Linked DNA regions of Oryctolagus cuniculus. The protein of the gene in region 1 purifies or fractionates together with the protein of each later gene. This does not show direct contact. Links are inferred from orthologs where the notes say so. Each region holds a gene or a part of one and is shown in the gene's direction. Other genes may lie near its edges.

Evidence for each region.
Region 2: the proteins of ISG15 (region 1) and HERC5 purify together in Homo sapiens (affinity purification with western blotting; 3 studies listed by BioGRID, with this or other methods). This does not show direct contact. The link is inferred for Oryctolagus cuniculus from reciprocal best matches to the Homo sapiens genes ISG15 and HERC5.

The regions. Positions count from the first base shown.
Region 1 is NC_091438.1:164,356,513-164,359,761, reverse strand, and holds ISG15 (ubiquitin-like protein ISG15), read left to right. Parts: upstream 1-1,246; 5' UTR 1,247-1,898; coding exon 1,899-1,901; intron 1,902-2,094; coding exon 2,095-2,586; 3' UTR 2,587-2,604; downstream 2,605-3,249.
Region 2 is NC_091439.1:77,182,958-77,186,609, reverse strand, and holds part of HERC5 (E3 ISG15--protein ligase HERC5), read left to right. Parts: intron 1-3,384; coding exon 3,385-3,498; intron 3,499-3,652.

The DNA.
Region 1 (3,249 bases):
TGAGACGGTGGACGTGGGCAGTGAGACTGTGGACATGGCAGTGAGACAGTGGATATGGGCAGTGAGACTGTGGACGTGGGCAGTGAGACGGTGGACATGGGCAGTGAGACAGTGGATGTAGGCAGTGAGACGGTGGATGTGGGCGGTGAGACGGTGGACGTGGGCAGTGAGACTGTGGACGTGGGCAGTGAGACGGTGGACGTGGGCAGTGAGACAGTGGACGTGGGCAGTGAGACGGTGGATGTGGGCGGTGAGACGGTGGACGTGGGCAGTGAGACGGTGGATGTGGGCAGTGAGACGGTGGATGTGGGCGGTGAGACGGTGGACGTGGGCAGTGAGACAATGGACATGGGCAGTGAGACTGTGGACGTGGCAGTGAGACAGTGGATATGGGCAGTGAGACTGTGGACGTGGGCAGTGAGAGTGCACGTGGGCAGTGAGACAGTGGATGTGGGCAGTGAGACTGTGCACGTGGGCAGTGAGACCGTGGACATGGAAGTGAGACAGTGGACGTGGGCAGTGAGACGGTGGACGTGGAAGTGAGACGGTGGACGCCTGCTCCCTTCACTAAGTGTCTGTGCTTTTTCTCTGACAGCTCAGCGGAGATGGTGCCCCAGGGAGTTCTGGGCCGGGGAGGCAGGGTCAGGGTTGATACTCAGAATCATGGCGGGCACACTTTGCTTTTCCATTCTTAAAAATTTCATTCACTTATTTATTTATTTAAATACCTCATTTTTATTTAGTCTCAGCCAACTTTGGTGTGTGCTGTTTGTGACAGCAGAAACTTGGGAACAACCTCGACTGGCCGTCCGGGGCTGGTGGGGCTGCACTCCTGGCCATCAGTCCCGTCCCGTCTCGGGAGCTCGGCCACGCGCTGGTGCCTGTCGGCAAAGGAGGCGGTTGATGACCTGCTGCTCCACAGGCGGTGAAAATGGCGAGAGCTCTTGTTTTGTTTTTTAGGTGAAATTCATGTAAAAGACATTAAAATGTTTGTTTATTTTATTTGAAGACAGGGAGAGAGCTGTTTCCCTCCACTGGTTCACACACCAAATGCCCACAAGAGCCAGGGCTGGGCTTGGCTGAAGCCGGGAGACAGGAGCTCTTCCTGGGTCTCCCTTGTGGGTGCAGGGGCCCAGGTACCTGAGCCGGGCACCAGCAGGGAGCTGGCACTGGAGGTGGCGTCAGGACTTGAAGCAGGCGTTCCTGTGTGGGCATCTCCACTGCTCCCTTTTAAATTGTGGTTTTTTTCATTGTTGAACTTGTAAGAATTCTCTACGCCCACAGAGACCCTTATCAGACACATGTGCAAACATTCTGAGTTCACTTCGAAAGGCAGCAAAATACACTTGGTCTTTCATTGAGAAACAACCTGACCAGAGGCCACGTCCTGAGCCCACGGAGGTCTCCGTGGGGGGGGGGGGGCTGGGACTGTTGGCGTCCTATGTAGTTCTGGAAGTGACCGCCGTGACGTTTCCTGGCCTCATCAATTTTGCAATCTGGCAAATGGAAACCGAAAGTCTCCAGTCCCCAGCCCACGTCCCTGTGAGCGCTGAGTGTCCTGCTGAGGACTCCGGGTGCTGGTGCTGGGCATTGCTGGGCACGGCTAGGCAGGCTGCCGGGGCACTGTGGGGGCCCCTTGCCGTGCCCCCACCCCTGGAGCTGTGCCAGCTCACATCGTCTTTCTGTTTTGTTTCTCCTACTCCCTCTGGGGCTCGCCCTGGGAAAAGGAAACCAAAACCAAAGCCTGCTTGGCCCCGGCACCAGCTGGGCGGCAGCACCGCCCCCTGACGTCCGCAGCCGAGGCCCATAAATGGGCTGAGGCTGGCCGGGAACGCGCTAGAGGCTGAGGGGCAGCGGCATTGCCAGGGACTGAGCAGCACCCAGAAGCAGCCACGGCCATGGTAAGCCGGGACGCGCGGTGTCGGGGGGCGCGTGGTCCGGCCGGTTTTCCTCCCCCTCGTCTGTCTGGTGGGGTTTCCCAGGGTGGGGACAGGAGGGGCGCATCGGCGGACGCAGGGGGCTGCACCTGCGGCTGGCGCCTGGTGTGCGGACCCAGGCCTGGCGCCGGTCTCTGAGCCCTGGTGATGCCCACAGGGGAAGGACCTGAAGGTGAAGATGCTGGGCAGCAAAGAGATCTCAGTGCCCCTGAGCGAGTCCCTGACGGCGTCGGAGCTGAAGCGGCGGATCGCCCAGGAGACTGGCGTGCCGGCCTTCCAGCAGCTCCTGGCTGTGCACCCCGGGGGGGCGGCGCTGCTGGAGGAGGTCCCCCTGGTCGCCCAGGGCCTGGGGCCGGGAAGCACGGTGCTGCTGCTGGTGCAGAAGTGTGACAACCCGCTGAGCATCCTGGTGCGCAATGACAGGGGCCGCAGCAGCGCCTACGAGGTGCTGCTCACCCAGACGGTGGCCCAGCTCAAGCTGCAGGTGGCCCAGCGGGAGGGCCTGCAGCCGGACCTGTTCTGGCTGAGCTTCGAGAACAGGCCCATGGAGGACCAGCACCTGCTGGGGGAGTACGGCCTCCAGCCGCAGTGCACCGTGTACCTGAACCTCCGCCTGCGGGGCGGATCTGCCGGGACCCGGCCCTGCTAATAAACAGAAGTAGCTGCCTCCCGGGTCCCCTCTCTGCCCATCACCCCTCCTGTGTCCCCAATTCTGCAGCCCTGTGGGGGCGGTCTGGTTGCCAAGTTATGGGACAAGGGCTTCATGGTAGGGTCATGACAGGGACAGCCTCACATAGGAAAGTCACGTGTGCCAGAGCTGACCTGGCCAGGCTGAGCCAGGCAGCCCCTCACTGCTCACCCCACAAGCTCCGGGGGTGGGGGGGCGGGAGCAGGGCGGCAGCTCTGCTCAGGGCCCATTGGCCACAGGGCAGGCCCCACCCCCAGAGTCCCTGGAACCAGTGAGGTGGGGAGAGGTCCACACCCCATGGGGCAGGGGGCCAGGAACCTTCTGGACTGCCCAGTCCTGCCTGCCTTGGTCCTGGGAGGTGTAGGGCGGGGCCTGAGCACTCACCATCAGGGTTCACATCACCCCCTCAGGAGAGTGTGGACAGTGCATGAGGGCACCTGGATCTGGGACTCACCTGCCCTGATGGGGCTTGGGGGTGGGCGGCAGCTAATTAGGCAGAAGCCACAGGGGACGCTCCCGGCGCCCTCCCTCCCCAGGGGGAATGCCCGGGGATGGCGCAGGACACAGCCGAAGCAGGCAGGCCCCGAGATCCAGGGACCACGAGATCCCTCGGGAGCTGGCTGG
Region 2 (3,652 bases), on another chromosome or scaffold:
CAGCCATTTGGGGAGTGAATCAGTGGATGGAAGATCTCTGTCACTCTCTTTCACTCTTTTTGTAATTCTGACTTTCAAATAAATGAGTAAATTTTTTAAAAAAAAAAAGGTCATGGAAAATGAAATTTAAGATGAGCTTAATTTGGTGAAATACACTTTTAAATTCATGCATGGGGGTATTAAAAATTCATGGAATACATGGAGGGAGGAAGATATGAGGAGAAGTATTATATTCTTAGAATGGTATCTATGAACCACATGGAATTTTTTTCATTGCTTTAATAAAAATAAGTACATAAAAACTATGCTATGAAAAACCAATGCATGAATTTGAAAACAGCAGCCCTGCAACACAGCATTGGTTTACCAACATGAAAAATAGAAGAAAGACTTGGCAAATGAATATTGCCATTGGTCAAACAGTCATTAAGTATTACTGGATCTGTCCGATATGTAGTATTGCCAAATAAGAAGCCTCATTCCTGATTAAGTGGAGCTGATAGCCATTATGATTTATTTTTCTGAAACTCACTTCTTTGAAGAGCTGGAGGCAAACCTGGGATCAAAAAGCCACTGTCTGGATTGGCCATTTGCCTCATGCACATCAGCCGATTACACAGTTACTTAGATTCCTTGACCATCAAACTCATATATAGAAGTAAGTTTTTTTTTTAAGATTTATTTATTTATTTGAAAGTCAGAGTTACACAGAGGGAGAAGGAGAGGGAGAGGGAAAAGGAGAGGAGGAGGAGGAGGAGGAGGAGGAGAGAGAGAGAGGTCTTCCATCTGCTGGTTCACTCCCCAGTTGGCCGCAATGGCTGGAGCTGAACCGATCTGAAGCCAAGAGCCAGTAGCTTCTTCCGGGTCTTCCACATGGGTGCAGGGTCCCAAGGACTTGGGTCATCTTCTGCTGCTTTCCCAGGCCATAGCAGAGAGCTGGATAGGAACTGGAGCAGCTGGGTCTCAAACCGGTACCCATATAGGATGCCGGCACTGCAGGTGGTGGCTTTACCCACTATACCACAATGCCGGCCCCTGGGTCTCATGTTGATGGGGGTAGGTGTACCTGTTATTTCTCTAATTTGAACAGTCTGGACATTGTCTCTTTTTCCGCTGAAAAATTGAAGTTCAAGTTCACTAGGTTTGGCAGATGCTCTTCAGTAAAGCCACCTTCATTCAGTTAGTGTTTGACCTGATGATCCCATGTCTACTTAGAAAATTGGCAGTTTCTTAAGTATGCCAGTGATAGCTTTCCTGTATTCTAGTAGTTCTTAGTGTAATGTGACACCTAATTTATCACACAACTGAAGAAAAAAATCTACCATACTATTGAAAAGCAATGGTTATGCTTGACTGTTATTGAAGGTTTTGTATAAAAGAGAAGGAAGAATAAAAAAAATTTGTTTTGAAAAATTGAGAAATTTATGGAAGAGCTCAAGAAGAGTAGATTCCAGTGAGCTTTTGCCACTTTGAGAGTTGGGAGAAATGCTGATGCAGCCACAAAGAGCTCTTCAGGGGATCCTGCTCTGTCCTTTGACCCTAACAGAATATTTGATATTTATCAAAGCCCATACCTCAGAAGGGGGCCACAAGAGAACATGAGGACGAAGCACCCACTGCACTCACCATTTCGTGATTTTGGGGACTCTGAGCCTAATGGCAGTGCAAGGCCAGGGTCAGCAGGACCCTTGCCACAGGGGTGAAACAGCCTCACCATAATTGGTAGTTCCACTGGAAGGCAGGGATCATTTGGAGTTGCAGAGCCACTGGGAATATCACAAACTGTTGGTCTTATTGTACACAGGGAAGAAAAGTTTATAGAAAACCTTCTGAGAATTAGAATGGCAGGCAGGTGTATCCATATCCAGCTCAAATCCTGGTAGTCACTTGATGTCCCAAGTCTAGTTTCATGAATACTCAGGACCTTTACTGACTGATGCCAGGGTATTCATGTGTCACAGCAAATCCATCCATCTCATGAGACGGAGGGCTGAAAAGCTCCCACAGTTCATTGAAGGAATGTTCCGTGAGTAACTAAGCAGAGAGGACGTCTATAAGTGGTAGTTTGTTAAGCTCTGAAGAACAAACCATAAAGAATTAGGCCCTATGGAAAGCCAAGACACTGTGGCAAAAAAAATGACCTAAATCAAAGATCTCTGTGAGTGAGATCCCAGTGGAAAAAACGGGCCATCAAAGAAGGAGGTACCTTTCTCTGAAGGGAGGAAATTTCTTCCACTATGATTATGGTCTTGTATAAATAAGGTCGGAGTTTGTGAACTCGAGGCTTCCATAGCCTTGGCAGCTCATGACAAGAGCCTCGGGTGATTACTGACATTATAAATAAGAGTGTCAATTATGGCCAGCGCCACGGCTCGCTAGGCTAATCCTTCACCTGTGGCGCCGGCACCCCTGGTTCTAGTCCCGGTTGGGGCGCTGGATTCTGTCCCAGTTACTCCTCTTCCAGTCCAGCTTTCTGCTGTGGCCTGGGAAGGTAGTGGAGGATGGCCCAAGTGCTTGGGCCCTGCACCCGCATGGGAGACCAGGAGGAAGCACCTGGCTCCTGGCTTTGGATCAGCGCAGTGCTCCAGCCGTAGTGGCCATTTGTGGGGTGAACTAATGGAAGGAAGACCTTTCTCTCTGTCTCTCTCTCTCTGTCTCTCGCTTTGTCTCTCTCTCTCTCTCACTGTCTAACTCTGCCTGGAAAAAAAAAAAAAGAGTGTCAATTGTTAAATTAACAACAGGAGTCACTGTGCACTTACTCCCCATGTAGGATCTCTCTCCTTAGTGTGTTGTACTTTGTGAATTAACGGTAAAACTAGTATTCAATACTTTATATTTTGTGTGTCTGTGTGGGTGCAATCTGTTGAAATCTTTACTTAGTAAATACTAAGTTGATCTTCTATATATAAAGATAATTAAAAATGAATATTAATGAAGAATGGGATGGGAGAGGAAGTAGGGGATGGGATGGTTTGCGGGTGGGAGGGAGGTTATGGGGGGAAAAGCCACTATAATCCAAAAGTTGTACTTTCAAAATTTATATTTAATAAATAAAAGTAAAAAAAAAAGAATTAGGCCCTGAGGTACTTTGGATTCATATTATGTTGATTTTTGTCCCTTGGACTTAAAATTCTCTGAAGTTTTCATATGAATTGAGAGTATCTAGAAGTTTATCATTTTATCATTAGTCTCCCTTATTGAATCTTAGGTATTCTTTAATATCCATGGAAATTTGGGGTTTTGGCAGTGGAGGAGGTGTTGAACAGAATTTTATTCTGGTCACTAAAAGTGTTTAATTTACTGTTTTCCTCTGATAACCTAATATTCTTTGAGAAAAATTGTCATTAAATATGAAACTTTCTCATAAGTCACATTTTATTTCAGGTAAATCAGACTAAGTGTCTTGTGCCTGAAGAAGTGTTCGTAGTGGATGAACTCTTAGACTGGCTCAACTTTTATGGAGAAGCATACGGAAGGTGCTCTGGGAAAACGAACTTGGTAAGCATTGCATTTACAGGGGGATATTGATAATCCAGAAGTTAAAATGGGCCTTTCTGCTGTAACTTTCAACATGAGTTTCTTAAAATCCTTGCATTCTGCAGAATTACACAATAGAGGCCATAGGGCATAAGGGAAAAGCAAGAATCCTCAA